2 linked regions of the Rhinolophus ferrumequinum genome follow. The protein of the gene in region 1 purifies or fractionates together with the protein of each later gene. This does not show direct contact. Links are inferred from orthologs where the notes say so. Each region holds a gene or a part of one and is shown in the gene's direction. Other genes may lie near its edges.

What was found.
Region 2: the proteins of EIF3B (region 1) and RPS6KB1 purify together in Homo sapiens (affinity purification with western blotting; 3 studies listed by BioGRID and IntAct, with this or other methods). This does not show direct contact. The link is inferred for Rhinolophus ferrumequinum from reciprocal best matches to the Homo sapiens genes EIF3B and RPS6KB1.

Annotation. Positions count from the first base shown.
Region 1 is NC_046307.1:43,407,415-43,417,463, reverse strand, and holds the start of EIF3B (eukaryotic translation initiation factor 3 subunit B), read left to right. Parts: upstream 1-6,031; 5' UTR 6,032-6,073; coding exon 6,074-6,524; intron 6,525-10,049.
Region 2 is NC_046304.1:26,275,696-26,285,639, reverse strand, and holds the start of RPS6KB1 (ribosomal protein S6 kinase beta-1), read left to right. Parts: upstream 1-5,459; 5' UTR 5,460-5,598; coding exon 5,599-5,739; intron 5,740-6,217; exon of another isoform or gene 6,218-6,338; intron 6,339-9,944. Other genes in the region: TUBD1 (tubulin delta chain), read right to left, coding at 427-658, 1,390-1,606, 2,374-2,521, 4,059-4,230. UniProt on the Homo sapiens protein: Serine/threonine-protein kinase that acts downstream of mTOR signaling in response to growth factors and nutrients to promote cell proliferation, cell growth and cell cycle progression.

The DNA of each region.
Region 1 (10,049 bases):
GAAAGACGCCATAAACAAGTGAAAAGATAAGCCACAGGCTGGAAGAATGTACTTTAACACATACAATAGGTTGCAAGGTTATAATCCAGGATTTATAAAGAACTCATCCACTTCAATATGAAAAAGATGAACCACCCCAAGGAGGCAAAGGATATGTAATTCACTGAAAAGGAAACCTGAGAGGCCAATAAACATATAAAAAGATGTTCAGCTTTACTGTTAGTTAGGTATACTGGACGTTTGTAATTATTTTTTGGACATTCAGCATCTGAGCCTTTCTTTCTATGTTTGAAGAATTCCTCTTTTGAGAAAGTCTCTTCCCATGCAGAAGGTGACATGTCAGCTGCAGCCAGCCAGGCTCACAGCCGAAGGGAGCTGGGGTCATGCAGCAGGGGGCGTCCATGACGGTGACAACTCATGGCCGCTGCAGGACCTGTGCCCCACGTCTAAGGGCAGCAGAGGCTGTGCGTTTCCACCAGCACCCAGGGCTGCTGTCCACAGTGCCATGTGTGACTGTGACACAGGGACACAGGGATGGGACAGCGTTGTGTTCACCGGCCAGCTCTAGGCATGAGCTGCCCACTTCATCTGCCGAGCTTTGAACCCGGTTTCCCAGCCCACCTGGAGATCCCAGTTGCTTTTCATAATTTCTTTTTCTGCTTAAATCAGAAATCTACTTACATCAGGGAAATGCAAATTCAAACGACGAGATGCTCCCGAGATGGGGAGAAACAAATATTCCTAGGCTGCTAGAGTGAAAATTGGTTTCGACACTTTGGAGGACAATTTGTTAATGTAATAAACTGAAATGTAGACATATCTTCTGACCCGGAAATTCCACTTCTGGTCATGTTCTCTAAACTATCGCTTGTGGAGACAAATACAAGACTCATCATTGTGGCACTATTTATAATACCAAAAAGACCCCCCAAACAACCCACTTTGATGTCAGTGTGGAATGAATAATACATTACAGGGTATTCATGCAACATTTGAGCTAGAACAGAACGTGCCAAGATGGACAGAGCTTGAAAACATCATTTGCGAGGAGAAAAGGCGTTGCAGAGGCTACTGTACTAATTGTGAACATTAACAGGCAAACACAGGTGAGGCTGTGTAAAACCCCGGCGATTCGAAGATCGGTGGCTCGTGTCAACGTCAGGACTGGTTGTGACGTTCCTTACAGCTCTGCATCGTAAGGGCAAGCTGGCATTAGTTCTTACGACTGCGCGTGAGTCTACAATTAGATCAAAAAGATGTCATTTAAAAATGCCACACAGGGTACACGTTACTTATAGACACATGATGGCATCTTCCGAGAAGGGAGAGAAATGAAATTTAGAGAGAGAAATTTAGGGAGAGAAAACAGATTTCCAGTCCTTTTTTTTTTCCCTTAGAAAGAAAATCTGTGGCAAACATGGCAAAATGTAAACATGTAAGAATCCAGATGGAGGTAAATGAATGTATGCTGGTCTGCTTTTCTCTGTGTTAACACCGTAGACGGAATGCGCTGATGTTTGCAGGCGCGCCGGCAGGGCCCTCGGTAATGAATGATACTGCCCGCTGGGAGGGAGAGGCGTGCCGGGGCTTGGTGTGGCGCCCTGCAGGTGGATGTTTGTTCAGCTCATCCCGATTCTGCCCTCCTGATGAGGGATACATCACCACAGACTCCACTTTCCAGTGCCCACCACCCTCTGCACAAAGGACCACAGTGAAGGCATTTGTTTCTGAAAAAGGGAGGTGGCAGGATAGAACAGAGCCGAGTGGGGCAGGGCCCAGTGGAGGGGAGCGGCTGAAGCCAGCCCTGGCTGGAACGCCCCCTTCAGAGTGGAGGCATTAGCAGTCCCCGCTTCTGGGGGCTGCCTGAGAACTAGTTGAGCGAAACCGTGTGATGTCTTAGAACAGTGCCTGGCAGCTGGGTTTGTTACTGCATGGTACAGCGAGGACCAAGGCGGAAACGCTCCCCACCCTACGGACCCCTCGAGCTTGTTCCAAGGTCATGTATGTCACACTGAGGAAACAGGCTCAGAGAAGATAAAGAACTTGCTCAAGGTCCCCGGGAGTCGAACAAGGGCTGTCTGATTCCTGACCATGCCCCCCATCTGCAGAGAGGGGGCAAATCAGCCTTTGCAGAAGGCAGAGGTAGGCTTGGTCAAGTGAGAAGCGTGCATGATGTGGGCCATATTTGATGGACCCTGTGAGTCCACCTATCCCTCTTCACTCTTCTCCCTGCTCTGTGAGCTTACAGACAGCCCTGTTCAGATCAAATATCCTGCAGAAATGACAGAAACTCATCTGAGAGCTGCGTACTATGTTAGGAACGTAAGGAGTGAAACAGCAACCCCATTTCATTACCTGCAGAGGGCGGGCCGAGATCGCCACCTGGAGGCGAGGTGTTTCTTCTGCGGATTCCTTAATTCTGTCCACGACTCCCAACACCCAAAGGGGACGATTCACCTAGGAAAAGACTAAGGCCGTCAATTCAGCATCCAGCTCAGGTTACCATCTGGCTGGCAGGAGGACTACCACCAGAACTGACGGCTTTCAAGAATTGTTTTCTTTTTAAAACATTTTATTTTGGTAAAATATACACAAGATAAAATTTATCATCTTAACCATTTTTAAGTGTCCAGCTCAGCGGCATTGAGCACATTCACATTGTTGTGCAGCCATCACCACCGTTCGTCTCCAGAAGTTTCCATCTTCCCAAACTGACACTCTGTCTCTGTGAAACACTCACTCCCCAGCCCCAATAACCACCGTTCTACCTTCTGTCTCTATGAAGTGACTCCTCTAGGGACCTCATCTGACTGGAATCATATAGTGCTTGTCCTTTTCCGTCTGGCTTAGTCACTTAGCATAATGTCCTCAAGGCTCATCCATGGTGTGCTTGAGTCTTTTCTTTCTTTCCAGAATAACGAGACAATGCTCCAGCAATATTCCCCTGTGATCAACAGGATTTTTTAAAAATAGCATTATGAACAAAAGGATTTAAACATACTTTATGAATGTCATATTGAGTTTTTAGTCTTTTTGAGGCTCAAATTGTTGCAATGGGGGGGGGCCTCTTAAAGTCCTTTCCCCAAAAAATTTACTATAAAAACGTTCAAACACTCAGAAAAATTGAAAGAATTTTACAGTGAACAGTCACAAAGCATTCACTTAGATTCTACAGTAAACATTTTTCTTTGGCCAACACCACCAATACTACTTACCATCATCAAACCCTGTCTTCAGTTTAATGTATATCCTTCCAGGCCTCTTTCTATGTATTTTACATAGTTACCTATCGTATGAGTGTGCTTGGGCTGTCATAACAAAACACCACAGAGAGAGCGGCTTAAACAGAAATTTATGTCTCACAGCTCTGGAGGCTGGAAGTCCAAGACAAGGTTTCGACAAGGTTGGTTTTCCCTGAGGCCTGTCCTAAGACATGGCTGGGGCTGCAGCCATCTGAAGGCTTGACAGGGGCTGGAGGATCCACTCCCATTTCACGTGTCTGGCAAGTTGGTGCTAATGTAGGGTAGGGAGCTCAGTTCTTCCAATGGGGGCCCCTTCAGATGGCTTGAGTGTCCTCAGGACATGGTGGCTAGCTTCTTTCAGGGCCAGTGACCAGAGAGAGAGAGAGAGAGAGAGAGAGAGAGAGAGAGAGAGAGAGAGAGAGAGAAAGCCCAAGCCAGGTGGAAGCTCATCATTTTCAGGACCTAGACATGGAAATCACCTAAAATCCCTTCTTCCACATCCTGTTCATTAGAAGTGACTAAGTCCACCCCCACTTTGGGGGAGCAGGGTTTGGCTTCCACTTTTGAAAGGAGTACCTAAGAATTTGTGAACTTATCACAAATGCACCACTACACACACTTCTGTCATGTTTGGACCCACAAACGTTGCTCCGATCACACAGTCATTCTAAGACGGCAAGAATCATACATTCTTTTCTGACCAGGCACAGGCAGATCTGAGGTACGGCAGGTTCCACTCCAGACCACAGCCGTAAAGCGGATACTGCAATAAAGCGAGTCACGAGGATTTTCTGGTTTCCTAGTGCATATAAAAGTTATCTTTACACCATACTGTCAGCTATTAAGTAAGTGTTCAATAGCATTATGTCTAAAAGAATAATGTACATGCCTTAATTTAAAAATATTCTATTGCTAGAAAATGGTAACCATCTAACCATCATCTGAGCCTGTTGGAAAAAAGGCACCGATAGACCTGCTCCCCACAGGGCAGCCACAAGCCTGCAACTCGTAAAGAAAACAGCACCTGTGAAGCAGAGTACCCACTTGGGTGCTCCTACCACCTGGATATCAGCTGCAGCCCTTCTCAGACCTTTGAGGCTGGTGGCACTGCTGAGGGTGTTGGCGCTCGCTCTAGGGCACTAGCGGATATTGGAAAACGCATATTTTTTTCCCTTTCATGAGTTCATTCATAACTTTCCCTGCATTAAAGCACATGCCAAGTCCCTTCACCGGGGAATAGCAGTGAGCGGCCACTCTATGTAGCACGTGCATGCCACAGAGGTCTTCCCTGAAAAGCATGAAGCTGCCAAACCTACATCAGCTGTTTCCAAGCTTTCCGGGAGTGTCTATCCTCGATCACATCTGTCACTGTTAGCACTTTCTAGAAGAAAAGGGCTAGCAGAGCCCAACGATCTGTGAAAACTGCGGATGAAACTAGAAATTAGGAAAACTTTGACCTCTAGGAGGAATCGGTTTGTCTTTATGAAACGAGTCCACAGGCCACGCACATAAAATGGGTTACTCCCCATTTTACAGACAGGGAAACTGAGGCAGAGAAGTCAAGTGACCTGCCCAAAGTTACAGCTGAAAGTAAGATGGGGAAGATTCAAACTTAGTATGAGGCAACACAAGAACACGTTTTTTTCTTTTCAATTGAAGTAAAATATACATTAAATTTACCATTTTAGCCATTTTCACTGCACAGTTCTGTGGCATTAAATACATTCACAATGTTGTGTATCCATCACCACTCTCCATCTCGGCAACTTTTCATCTTCCCAAACTGAAACTGTTCCCATTAAACAACTCCCCGGTCCTCTACCCCCAGCCACTCAGTTCTTTTTTTGGATGATTAAAACACCTCCAACGAGCGGTTGCCCTCACGCCTGGCAATAAGCAAAGTACAAGACACAAATACAGAATACCCTTTCCGAAGGGAGCAAGCCCGAGCCAGACTTGTCGCGCCGCCTCCTGTCACTCACCGGGGGCAGCTTCCAGCTCCTGGCCCCGCCCCGGCCCCGAGCACGTGGTTCGCGCTCGCTCCCGCGTCCGAGGGCCCAGGCTTCTGCGGACAGAACCATGGTGACCATCAGAATGGGGAAAGGCGGAATTACAGCCTCCTCGATGGGCTTGGGCATACCTGATGAAAGCAACTCTCATTTACTTTTGTATTGCGCTAGAGAGCGTCTTTCTAGGAGTGCTGGCCATCTCTGGCTTACCAGGAATTCCTTTTGTATTTTGGAATCGTCCATTCTTGTGCCCAGTCAGTAGACGAGTCTAAAAACCGACATGTCAAGGGGGGGACTCAGTAATGTAAGCGAAACTGCCCGGTGAAAGGCTGAGACATCACAACCAAAATAGTTTGTTGAACTTACAATTTTTTCTAGTATTAATCTTTGAGCTATGCTTCCACACAATTCTGAATACTAAGCTGACTTCTGGTACCTCCGATCGGCGTCATAAATAGTTTAGTCCTTCGCCGTAGCGCCCGACGGGAGAAGGACGAGAGTGGCTGCCATATTGGGCGAAACCATCCTCTACCAAAAGTAGGGTGGTTATAGTTCCCAATGAGTTTGTACGTTGAGCCGAGGAACTGTGGTGATTGGAACTGAGCACGTACTTGTCAGGGGAGCACGATCGTAATCACTGGTAGACGCACTTCTGCCCTCTGAGTTCCTCCGGCCACGCTGTGAGGCAGCAGGGCGTGGACGCGCACCCCTCTGATCCTCGTGGGATGCCCCGCCGCACGCACATGGCCCGGCGGTAGGCGCGGTGCGGCCTGGGAGAGTCGGAAGCGCGGCGAGGCCGGGCGAGGCGGCAGCGGCGGGCTCATGCAGGACTCAGAGAACGTGGCGGCGCCGGAGGCGGCCGAGGAGCGGGCCGAGCCCGGACAGCAGCAGCAGCTGGACGCCGAGCCGCCACCGGCCGAGGAGCCGCCGCGGCTCGCGGGGCTCGGCGCGCAGGAGGCGGCGGGCGGAGAGGACGCGGAGGCGGAGGCTGAGGCTGAAGCAGAGGCCGGGCCGGGGCCTGAAGTGCCGGCCGAGCCCGCGGCCGACGGGGAGGAAGCGGCAAGCGCGACCCCCGCCCCGTCCCTGCAGTCGCCCGAGGAGTCCCCGGACCCTGCCGTGGGCGAGGCCCCTGGGGAACAGGCCAGGGACGCGGCAGCTGAGGCCCGGTCCGACGGAGCGGGTGAGGAGCTGGGCGGCGCGGCTGAGGACGGCGACGCGGACGAGCCCTCCTTCAGCGACCCCGAGGACTTTGTGGACGACGTGAGCGAGGAAGGTAGGGCGGCTGGGCCTGGCTGCGCGAAGGTGCTCGAGGCCCCGGACGCGGCCCGGGTCCCGGTGCGCCGCGGGAGTCGGCGGGGGGCGTCTCCATTCTACACCTGTGGTCCCGCACGTAGGGAGGCTTTTCCGTGGGAGCCCGGACTGCCTTTTCTCCAGGAGTGGGGGGGGCAGGATGAAGACAACTTGGGGAGCCGGCCATTCCTGCGGCCAGGTGTTTGGAGGTCGAGGGCAGAGGCGTGTAGCGGGCGCTGAGGCCGTGCGTGCGGCGGTGTGGCATTTAGGGTCGCGCGGAGCAGGACGCCCCACGAGCGGCGCGGTCTCTGGCGACAGTTCCCCGGCAGCAAGTCTGGGTGCCCTGAGAGTCCGCCACGGCTGTCCGGGTCCTGGAACACCCCCGGGCGGTCCCCTCAGCGGTGGGTGTGATGCCGTCCCCAGAACAGGCTGTGGGTGCCTTGTCTCTGCCCGGCGGAAGGTTGTGCCCTCGTGGAGCCCTTTCGTGGGTCTGTGCCAGGCCGTTCGGCCACGTTCCTCTCCGGGCCCCTCTTTCGGTCAGCCCAGGAGCAGGTCCCCTCCTCCTCCGGCAGGTCGTTTCTCCAGGGTTTGGGGGTGTTGACCACGCCGTGCTCTGCCCTCCTTTAGACTCACAGACGTTTCTTTCTGTTTCCTGCCTGACAGCCTGTCTTCTGAAGTGACTTGATGATAGTTGATCTTACTGTATCGTTTGCTTCTGTTTTGTTTTTAGCCGTTTGAACTCGACAGGCTTGCAGCACATCACTGTACTGACTGCTCTATAGTAAAACGGGAAGGTGGCGCCAGCAGTGACACACCAAGAAAATGAGGTGTCCCGTGTTCAGACACAAAGATTGGAGATGTGTCTGATCGCACTGAGATTGAGTCAGAATCGGAAAGAATGTCAAGCAAAATGAAAAAGTTTAGAAAACCAACATAGATTTGCCAACTTATAAACATGATTCTAAAGGGTTACCTGTTATTGTCACTGTGTTTCATAAGGTAAAAGGCACGTTAGCATGAGAAGCAGGAAAGCCCCCACAAGCTAGTGAAGCCCTGGGAAGGCTTCCCACCAAGCAGGTGGCTGGGAACTGACAGGGAGACAGTGATGCGGGGACGTCCCTGCCCAGACCAGTGTTGTTTTTACCACACGACTTCTGGTGTATTTTGAAATCTAAGTTTTGATTTTCAAAGGCCATTTTGAGCCCTCCAGTATTTACTCTGCAATTGATTTTTTTATAAAGCATTATTTGAAGACATCTAATTCACACAAGATTTTAACGTGAATTATTTCCAAAATTGTGTGTGACAGAGAATGTTAACATGAGCCCAAGGCCAGCCAGGTTAGGTGACAGCTGGGCAGACCTTTTGGAGCCCATGTAATCGTCATGTTTTTGCCAGAGTGACCTGTGAGGCTCCTGGTCCTAAGGAATTAAAACTAAGCAAACCTTCAGTTTTCTTGAGTCCACTTGGTTGTGGTCAGTAGTTCAAGTCTGTTTTGTGTTTCATGAGAACCCCCTGTAGGGGAGCTGAGATGCCCAAGGTACCGCTTCTTTTGAGAATGGACTGAGTCTCGTGCAGCGAGCGCCTCTCACAGGTGCCATGAGGTCCAGCGCTTGAGAGCAGAGCAGCCTCTCCTCTCTGAAACACTGGCCCTTTTGCACAGTTGTGTCTGAATTACAACCATCCTTTCACTTTTAATTTTCAACTGCTTATGGTGCTTGGCCAAACATATATAAAAGTTTTGACTCTTAAGTGTCTTTTTAGTTCATTAAATAGTATTTATGTTTATATCTGCTATTTAGTTTGAGAATTGCTTCTTTCTGTTTCTCTGGGAGCCAGATTGGGAATCCATCAGTCAGGAGTAACCAGCGGTGTAGGCTGGTAGTGATGATGGAAATGTGTTTCTTCACGTATAGTGACTGCATCTATTCCCTTACTGTGCACGGGCAGCTTCTTAAAAAGAATTCTTGTTCCTGTAAAGAACTTTAAGGTTGTGGGAAGGCGTCCACAGTTTGTATAAAAACTGGGCTTTTTATTGTGAACCTTGTAAACTCAGATCAGGCTGAACAGGCCACTTAATTGTATAGTAAGTGGACTTTAAAAAGAACCCAGGGACTGACTCCAGTCTCTGGGGTAGATGCCTCCGTTGCTGTGACTCGAACCTGCCTCTTTCCCTCTTCCCTCTGCTTGGTCTCAATTTTAACTTCTTAGAAATTTAAGTGGCAATTCTTTAGGTAACATTTTCAGTATCATTCATAAAGGGTTGAAATTAATTAGAAATAGTTTATAACAGGGCATGCCTCTTGAAATTAAAGGATGCTTTGCTTTTTGAAAGATTTTTCAACTTACGGAAAATTTCAAACACAAAAGTGGAGAGAATTCTTCTTAACTTTTGAGAAAGAAATGCAGCAAAAAATACTTTGTGTCCAGTTTGGCCTGTTGAAATTCTTAAGAGTATAATAAAGAAATGAGAGTGACAGTTGGGTTCCAGAACACGAGGCACTGTTCCCCAGCTGTTGTTTAAGATGACCTGTGCTCCTGCTAGCTGACGGACTACTGCAGCCCACTCGTGAGTGTGCTTTGGGGCAGCTCTGAAAGGTGTGTGTTCTCGCTCCCAACCCAGCACCTTGTAAATGCACAGCTTTCTAGACAAGCTAACTAATTGGGTTTAGGATTTGTACAGAATTTATACTGAAAAGATAAGGTCGCTTTATTTCAGCTGATACTCCATTTGGCCTCCGAGTGCCCATCTCCAGCAACAGGTCAGGCATTTCTGTGGTGCTGGAGCGTTATGGTCAGAAGGACTGAAGGCCAGAGACAGGTCGCTGTCAGGTAGATGGCGGTGGGCATGTAGAATGGAATCGCCCAGGCAAACCAGTTGGCCTCCAGTCTGCTTCCCAGACTGTTTGTGTTGGTTGCTCTCATGGTTCTTTTCTCTATTCCTTTTTACACCTATCTTTCCGTCTCTTTCTGTTATCCAAGCTGACCATTGTATGGAAATGAAGCAATTCTAAGAAGTTTGAGTAGTTAAGATTTGGGTTCTGTGATCTTAATTTTAAAAGCAGATACATGAACATAATACATCTTGAGTTTTTGAGTGTAGTTACGAAAACATTGCTTACTGTGTTCCAAGCATTGTCCTAAACTTTCACGGGTTTCATGTCTGTAAACGGCTGATGTATTTCCCAACCTTGTGAGCTAGTTCATTTCACCGGAGAGACCACCAGTCAGGTGCAGGGTTTACGTGCACGCTCTCCTGAGCTCGTGTGCTCTCCAGGTCCTTGTTTAAATGCAGGTCAGCCCCATGTTGTCTTCCAACTCTGGGTAACAAGTTGTTTGCTCTGTTTTAAGCTGACTGGGAAGCAAGTGCCTGGTGGTGGGCTTGCCATGGACATGGGTCAGGGAAGTCCCCAGGCCACTGGGGTTTTTTATCTGATTCCTGGTGAAAGACCTTCTTCTGTGTATGCATTCAGCGTTCTTAAACTCAAGTCTTTAATTCATTTAAAAT
Region 2 (9,944 bases), on another chromosome or scaffold:
CATTTACGTCTAAATGATTTGAATTGATAAGGCATCACTTGCCAAATAAGCTGAAAAAGCAACGATGGGTTTCTTTATGAGTGATGAAAATGATGGTTGTACAACTTTGTGAATATTAAAAAAAAACACAAAACACTTTAAATGGGTGGATTGTAGGATATGTGAATTATATCTCAAAGTTTTTGTAAAAAAAAAAAAAAGGAGAGGATCCTAAAGAATGGAGAAAGTGGGTATTAACCACTCTTTTGAGAAATTTAGTAACTTCTCAAAACTTTTCAGAGCGCTAAGAAGCTCTTTAAGGAAGGTTTTTGAGATGAGGGAGACCTGGGTGTATCTTCAGGCAGAGGGGAGGAGCCAATGAAGAATAACTTTGAGGCATTCGGAACATAAGACTTTCCTACAGATAAAATACAGAAAGACAAATACCTAATGGGTTTCTTCTGTAGTGAAATGAGCCTTCCGCAGAATAAGTAGGCTGGAACACACTTCCCAGCTGATGGGCGAGGACTTGATTTATATCACTAAAGGAGATGTGCTTGATATTCATCAGTTTTGCGCAGATCTTATGAACAGCATCATTCTCATGAACAAGGAGGGCGTCTGAAGATCGGTACAAGTGGGAAAGAGTCAAAATGGAGTTGTAGTTCTGAACAATAACCTGGAGAGAAAAAGGTCAGAAATAAGAAAGGCAATTAAGAGGTTCGATATTAAGGGCATCCTGCCTAGGATCAAATCCTGGCTCTGTCACTGTCTAGCTGTATGCTCTTGAACAAATTATTTAATCTATTTATGCCTCAGTTTCCTCATTTGTAAAATGGGAATAATAATTATACCTGCTTCCTAGAGTTGTGAAGGTTAATGACAAAATGCAAGGAAAGCACTTAGAACAGTGCCTTGTATATACTAAGGGTTCAATAAACGATGACCATTACTATCACACTTTCTTCCTACATAATTTACAATAGTGACTTATCTCACCTCTGTTTTAGTATTTCTCCTACTAGGCTGGTCAACAAGAAATGGGCCTATATAGAAATTTCCTTGTAATGGAGAGAAATGAAAATTCTTTGAAGGTTGGCAATGGCATGATGCCCCCTAACATGAAGTCAAGGTCCCTGCTTTACATACTAGAGACAGAAGGATTAACTCAGGAATGGATTCCTAAGAGAAAATGCACAATTGTCTTCTTTGAAAATTTTAAAAACAGGGACACTTCATTTGTTTGGAAAAGTTAAAGCAAAGTTAAATGAATTGTTCACGCAACTACCATATTGCATAATCACTCCTGACACAGTAACTTAGCATTTCCAAAGAAAGGGTCAGATCAGTCTTTTACCTACATTGATTTCAACAGCAAGGAATACAAAATATAAAAAATTCAGTTCATACCTCACCAGTTCCATAAGGCCATATAATCTGATTCATTTTCAAAGAGCTGGAGTACTGATCCTGTAAATTCTGTGTAACAAAGGCTCCTAGTCCTGATCCTGTACCCCCAGCCATACTCATTATGATGAAAAAACCACTCAAAGAGTCACATTTCTCCGCTTCCTTCTGGATTAGGTTCAATATAGGTTCTTCATGCCTGGGTCCATGAACAGAGTAACTATGCAATGCAAAAGGAACAAATGCAAACACCTTTCAATTTAACCAGAGAGATGCAATGCAGAATAGAGAAGTCTTTTTAAACCTAGGGAAGTGAACTAACTCTCATGAAAGGCACAAAATTTAAAATATTCAAGTTAAAGATATTTAACAGGTAGATAGGACTGTTAAGAGAGTGAATTTACTGGGTACAGAAATTCTCTTTTATAGGCCACTCCTTTAGCTGTAGACTTCAATTACCAGGTAGTTCTGTAAGTTTATGGTACAACATAATATTCGATGTTCTTAACAATACACCTTAAACAGTGGTTCTTGAAATTTGCTGCACATTCCAATCACCTAAGGAAGCTTTGAAAAATCCCAACATCCAGGCTTCATGTCAAACCAATTAAATCAGAATTTCTCGAATTGAGCCCTAGGCACTGAAATTTTCCAAAGAACCCAGGAAACACTACTGCCCTGCTGTATCCCATATTAGCTGGAATACCTGCCAGATAAAGATATTATATTGATAATAAGTTAGTTGGCAGAACGACTGTGAAGAAGTGGAAAACCCTACTGCAAGAGATCCTTGGTTTCATCATTGTTTGGACCTGAAGCATATACATACGTAAGGTAGAATTTCTTTTGAGTGAAGTCACACCCTAAATTTTAAAATAGCAATTTAAAGATTCTTTGCTCAGTATATCAACTTTTTACTTGTAACTACACTATTTATTAATTGACTATGTAGCTGTACCTAAACTGAAAATCATGAGTTATTCTTACCCATATGCCCAGTTGTTTCCAGAACCTTGTTTTTGACAGAAGCCTGAATGCTGGCCATATTTCCATCGGCCAGACTGGGCAGCCTTTAGTAATGTTTGATTGATAACTTTAGGTTCCATGTCAACAAGTACAGCTCGAGCAATTGGAACTAGAGAGGGGGGAAAAATATTTCACAGTCTTATTTGGGTTAACACAGAGCATAAACTCCTAAGTACAAAAAAAAACCCCAAAGGTTGAGGATACAAAGATCTGTCACACTGCTTAGAAATTGAGGTGGGCAGCAGCAGGTATGTACAGATGGTTCAGAATGCCTAGCATTCTGCTAAGCAGGATGAATCAGTGTGGGCTAAAATAATCACTGGGTCAGGTCTACAAACATCTGTTGCATTCTTACATAATGTAACATGTACTGTGCTGGGAACACAGAGATGAAGATCAATCCAGCCCTAGAAGGACTAGTGGGAGAAATGAAAGACATCGACGCTTAATCACTATATCAGGTGATATGACCCATGACGAATCTACAGTGATAGAATAGCATATTCAGAGGTACAAAATACCCAGGGCACACAAGCAGTTTAGGATTGTTGAAGCAAAAGATGGAGAAGGAGGGGGTAGAAGTGATGGACGGAGATGGAAAGCAGGCAGGACTCAGATCTTGAAAGTCCTTGTATGCAATCAAAGCTTGAAATTTATCTTTTACGTTATGTGAAACCACTGAAAATGTTCAAGCAGGGGAGGAACAGTCAGATTTAAAAAAAAAATTTTTTTAATACAGCAGTGTGGAGGATAGCTATGATAGACACAAGAGTGTAGGCAGGGAAACTCAGAAGGACTGTCTTGAAACAATCCAGGTGAGAGAAAACAAGAGCCAGAACTAAGTCCATGACAGTGAAGATGGAAAGGCAAGAAGAATTTCAAGAGATATGGAGGAAGTAAATTAAGCAGATGTCTGATGTTATGTGTATAGTAGGAGCCCAAGTTTTAAAGGAAAGATAATGAATGATCTTGGGTATGGAGATGTTGAATTTGAGGTACACATGGGAGATGCAGGTGAGTATGTCCACTAATCAGTCGGCAGCTTGGAAGAGAAGCTAGGCTAGAGATTTGAGAGTCACCAGTGTAAAAGATGTAGCACTTAGAAGAATAATTGAAATTGCCTAGAGAGAACTATACAAATCAGGACAGAGAGCCTGCGGTGCAACCACTGGAGAAGAAAACTTCAGACAGTAAGGAGGAGTTTTATAATTAATGTTATCAAATCCAGTAGAAAAGTTAAGTGAATTAAAACAAAAATAGTCATTGGATCTGGTAATTAGGAGATCATTGGGAACTTTTCTCAGAGCAGCTTTAGAAGTGAAGAAGGGCAGAAGCAGGATTATAGTTGGTTAAAGAGGGTTCTCCTTTGAGAATCTTAGATGAGAAGCAAAGGTAAGAGAAGAAAAAAGCTATAGACGAGAGATACGTTTTGTTTGTTTTTAGATTGGCAGGGTCTGAGCATGCTCTTGTGCTGAGGGGAAGATGCCACGGTAGGGGCAAATGTTGTTAACATAGAAACAAAGAGTCAAGAGCAAAGTCATTCCCTAGTAAGATGGGAAAGTATGGGGTTCAGACACCACGTGGATGGCCTGGCCTTGAAGTGGTTGGTTATGTCAGAGTAAAAGAGGACTGTGGACCACACATACCTCCATTTTCCTCCTCACTGAAGAATCTTTCTTTGCAAGACGCTTGATATGCTTCATTCTCTCTTTTAGAGCAGAGTCTCTGGGGACAGTGTGAGTCACTAAATAAAGCATCAAACACTTCAAAACCAATCTGATTGCCACACTGACCAAGTTGCAGTGTTACTATTGACATGTTGAGGCCTGACAAACTAGGCCTATTTCCTCAAAAAAGTGAGGAACCAACCTGTAATAGAAAAAAGATAGGTGTTGAGAACTACATTACTAATAAAGAATAAAATGCTATATGTTAATATACATCAATAAAATATATATAATTTTAAAATGCCATATATGTATATGGTTTTATAGATGAAATAGCTATGTTGTCTAAGATGCCAATCATTCAAGGAAATTATTCTCTTTCTCCATATGGCTTTGGGATTTGGGATTTACTGTACCCAAATCCATTCACACACAGCTCAATAGTTTCCAAAATCTGATTTCTAATCACTATATTCCTATGTATACATTTAAACAAAACAAGATGAATGCTAGTTGAAGGAATAAATACTATACATTTCCCACCATAGGAACACACAGAATGCAGAAATTAGTTCAGAAGTTAGTACATGTACTTAACATTAATTCTCTTCTGAATAATGACTTTCTTCACCAATCACCTTTCTGGCCTGGTAACTACAGTAACACTTATAAGGAAGACTTTGTGTTTAGCTCAGGTAGGACAGCAAGGAAGATGAAGCTTGGAAAAACTAGACCAGATGAAACATTAGAGCAGGTCTTCATTATTTTTTAACAATGAAAAGAAACAAGTTTTGGTGAACGCCTCACACCAGGTCTATGCAGCAGTGAAAAGAGCAGTGGCTTGTGAGTCACACTCTGCAGTTACAATTTTCAAACAACCCTGCAAACTAGGTACCATGATTCTCATTTTATAGATAAGGAAACTGAGTTTCTGAAAGGTTATGTGACTTTCGCAAGGCTACTGAACTAGTAAATAGCAAAACCAAGACTCCCTTTCCCCACCAACCCTAGGAGTTCCCCATTAAGCCCACTCACTGACAGCCCCAGGACCAGCCGTTTCTATCCTGTTCAAACTTCAGAGGACCATCATGCGCATGCTCACTTTCAACACCCAAAAAGCTATGGAAAACGAATGCGCATGTTCCACAAACGAAGAGTGTTGTGGGCTTTTTTTTTTTCCCTATTCAGAAAGGTTAATTACGCATGTTCAATTTCAATTTATCAACTTCAGACACGTTACGCATGCTCACTGTCCATCAAAAGCTTTAGCTGACAATGCGCATGGTCTAGATTCCAAGAGAGGCTTCGGCTGGGGTTCTGCGCATGTTTCTGCCCGTACCTGGCTCTTGGGGATAGTTCTACGCATGTTCATTGCCCACAGTTCGGCTTCAAAAAACCCTGTACGCATGCTCTAGCGCTGAATTTGAGGAGCAAGTCTAAGGCCTAGGCGCAGACGCACTGAGCCTAAGCAGCCGGTGATGGCGGCAGCGGCGGCAGTGGCTGCGGCGGGTCCGGGCCCATGAGGCGACGACGGAGGCGGGACGGCTTTTACCCAGCGCCGGACTTCCGAGACAGGGAAGCTGAGGACATGGCAGGAGTGTTTGACATAGACCTGGACCAGCCAGAGGACGCGGGCTCTGAGGATGAGCTGGAGGAGGGGGTGAGGCCCGAGGTCCCGGGGGGCCCGAGGTGACAGGGCTGGGGCGGCGGCGCGGGCCCTGGAAGTCGGGCGCGTCCGAGAGCGCAGAGACCCAGGGGGCGCGAGAAGTCTCCAGGAGGAGCTGAAGCGCCGCGCGGCCCGAGGCAGGGGAGCGGGCGGGGCGGACCTGGCCCTAGGTGTGAGGCCGCTGCGGGGCTCGCAGGTGCAGGTCGCGCCCCTAGCTCTAGATCAGCGCAGCCCGGAGCAGTCTGTGGAGCGAACGAAAAGGCGCGTGGTCGATTTCTCCAGCTGTTCGACTTGAGTGTGGCGGGCCGTGAGTGGTGTAGCGTGTGTTGGGGGAGGGGGACTGCGCTTGCTGGGTGTCCCGTAAGTGCAGGTGAAGTGCGGAAGGGTTTCCCTCCGAGTGTAAGATTTCAAGCATTAAATCTTCAGACCTCCCACAACCACCTCTCTTCTCGGCCTGTCGCTTCTCTCCTAGGAAGCGCTCAGCTGTTAGAAGTGACAGCTGAAAACTTCTGTCGGGAGTAGCGCTGCCTCTGCTGTTACAGCCACCAGGAGTTTTATTTCGGGAGCAAGGGGGCTCTGCTGCATCTTCCAGGGTTTGTTTGTTTGCTTTTTTTTTTTAACCCCCTTCCGTGTGACTTTTTAAAAAACGCTTTTATAACGACACACGGTGTTTGTAACTTACATTTCCCCCAGTTGAAGATGTCTACATTTTTTCAAAATACTTTCTGTAATTTTGGGGTGGAAAAAAACCCAGCGTTGACAGCTGTGATTTGGCTTGCCAAAAATAAATTGCTTGAACGGAGACTTGTGAATGGTGGTGTGAGGGCTTTCCTTGCTGTAATTTAGGGTGCTAAATTTAGAATTGTTTTTCCTAATGCATAGCTTGGTTTCACCTTTGCTGTCTTAGTAGCTTGTTATTCTTTATGGAATAGCACTCGTATTTCAAGACAAATTTATTGAAAAAATCACAAATTATACCTAAGTTAAAGAATGGTGTTGTTATACAAAATAACTAATTCTGGGCAATTGATCATGTATAATCTCGTGGTAATTTAGAGTCTAAATTCCATTGTCTAGATGAGTACACATGGGTTGATGACTGATGTAAGATGTTTGTTCTAACTACATAAGGGGCTTCCCTTTCTTTCCCTCACTCATTTTTCTTCCTCTGGCAAGTAAGTTGTGCCCTGCTTGTTGACAAAAGATTGAGATGCTATGTATACAGAACTTTGGAAGCTTGATGAAACTAACTGGGCTAAAATAGTTGATCTTTTCATAATCAAATGAGTCTAAATCAAAATTACACAGTTTGGAAGGTGGGTATTGAGATGTGTATTTTTTAATATGTTTGCATATGGAATTCCAGTTTGCCTCTTAATTGAACATGTGATACACTAATTACAATTGGAAACAAAATGGGATTACTTTCATTACATATATAATCCTCTCATCAATTATATTGGCTCCATATGGCAGTGGCTTTGAAGCAGGGCAGGGGAGAAAACTTGATAGGAAGGATGCTTTATAAAATCTTCATTAGGTGAACTGATAGAATTTCCAGGCCATGGGTTCATCAGGAGAAGTTAAAGGAGTTGGAAGTAAAATACTGTATTAAGATTCCTGTTATGAACTGGAACCTCGTAGGATTTGGGCCTATTCCTGGACATTTGTTTTGCTGGGTACAAGCAAATAGGACTGTGAGAGGGTGTGGAAGAGGAGGCCAGAAAAATTGATGGAAATAGGAAAGAGAAAGAAATGTGGCCATTATTCTAGGGAGAGGAACTTTGGGGAAAGAGCAAAGGTAATTAAAGAGGACTTTGAGAAAGCTTTCGGCAAATTATATTATATTTTAGCAATGCTTTTGGAGTTGAAAATGTTTCTTTTGAGTGTGTTATTCTAATAGGTGCCTCACGGTGGAAAAGAGTTGGAGTGGGATTGGGCTGGCCACCCAAGGAGATTAAGTGACATCCAGGTTCCTCTAAAATAAAATTGTAAAATTTTGAAAAAATGAGACAAGTTTAGATTTTTGGAAAATCGGGCTTTTGTGAATTTATAATTATATAAGTAATATTCTGGCTGCTTGTGAATTTATAATCTTTAGTTTAACACAAACTTTTTAAAACATTGGTATCATATCAGATACCATTGGTAACATATCAGAGTAGCCTCCCTTCTTCGTTTGATAGTAAGGAAACTGAGGCATAGGCCAGAGAGATGATTGCCCAAGGCCATATAGGTAACTGGTGGTAGTGTCTTGTGACTCAATTCAGCAAGCTTCACTGTACAGCTTTTTCATTGCATTTATTAGTCTTGTTCATAATGTACCTCTTTGTGGTGTGTCAAAGTGAATTCAGATCCTTCCAGGTATGCTCACTGACGATGTGACCTAGAACAAATTGCTTAATCTCTAACACTTTTTTTTCTCTGTAAAATGATGATTGCATTAGATAAAGTGTATACAGTACTCCAAAATATCATGGCATATTAAGCAGTTAGCTAGTTCTTGGAAATAAAGCTTGTCAGTGCTACGCATTGCCAAGGAACCAATCATTCAAGTTTACTCTCCTCTATGCCTAGAGACTTAATAAATACAGTTATACTAGAAGGGCTGTACTTTTAGAGCTTTGTATCTTTTTTTTTTTTTAAATTAAATCATTGGTCCTATTTAGAGATACATGCCTACACTGAGTCGGTCTGTATTAGTAAGTAATATGTATTTACATAGCATAGTTAATTCTTCAGTGAATAAAAGATGAGGAGAGTAATTTAAAGTTGAATGTCTGCTACTTAAGTACAAAAAAAGACCCTGATTGAATACCTCAGAGGACTATTAAAAACCAATGGATAAGAGGGGGGGGGGGGGGTGTGTGTGTGTGTGTGTGTGTGTGTGTGTGTGTGTGTGTGTGTGTGTTGGCGGGGGGGGGGGTCTTTTTGGGTTTTTGTTTTCACTGGTGATGGTATAATTTGGGGACAGTGAGTTGTAAGGGAAAGCTTTTTTCTAGAGGTTTTCATTAGATTTTGAAAATGTTGGAAATCTCTGCTTTCTGTGGAGACAAGTTAAAAGAGTAATAGAAAATTGAAATGCAATATTAAAAATCCTCAATTTTTACTCTACTAATTCAATATTTGAAATAGTTGTGAGCTTACTGCACGAGTTTTAGATTGGGATATCAGATTTTTATTGAGCGAAAAGTATAAAAAATTTTAGTGCTTTGAAAAACAGTGCGATATAGACAGTATGTATTCAAACATTCATGATTATGAAGTGTTATAGGAAAAAAAACTCATTATCACTGCTTCAACTTACCAAAAAGCATTTTGAAATAGCCCAAGATTTTGGGCAGGTTTACTCGTTTTTCCCAATTCCTCTGAATTACTTAATCTTATAAGGAAATGTCTGTGAACAGACAGGCAAGTGGATATAAGATTTAATGATATAAGATTTGGATTAAGAATATTTCACCCATTCTGTAACAATTTATTTAATTTTTTTATAAAATGTGCTTTTTTATTGGGATTTGAGGCACATTAACTTAAATTTATAAACAATTTTAATTTAAAACTCTGGAAATATTCATTCTGGTGGGTTAGTTTGAAACACTATCTTGTACCTTAGATGAGCAGAATTCCACTTTGTCAGCCATAGTGGCATACAAAAAAGTATTGGTTAGTACGTTAAGTTTAAGGCAACGAAAAAAATCTGAAAAAAAGAGATTCCTGTGAAAAAGAGTTGTCAGTATGTATTATATAATGTTAGTTTATTGCTTCTGGTGTGAGACTTTTCTAAAAGTAACTTTGAGTAGCAGAAAAGAATTGTGCCTCAAATGCTTCTGCTCTAGAAGGTAACGGTAGGAAGTTATAAACACAGATGCAGGTTATAAACACATAGGCCTGGCCGGCTCTGGAAGTGAAACACAGCCATGGGGCATGTATTTCTAGGTAGGTTCAAAGTCGTGGTTCAGTGTTAAGTACTTTGTAGCCTTTAATTTAGAATTAAATGAAACTAACATTAAAGAAACAACAATTATATAATACCAGTTTTATTATAGCTGAGAGAAGTTAGTCTTTTGTCTTTAAAGTGATGATGCCTCATAGGTGATTTTATGAAATATCAGAGACAATAAAACCTTTAGCCATAATCACTGCTACACCACCCCCAAGAAACTGTATCAAGGTGAAACTGAGAATTTTTTCCCTTG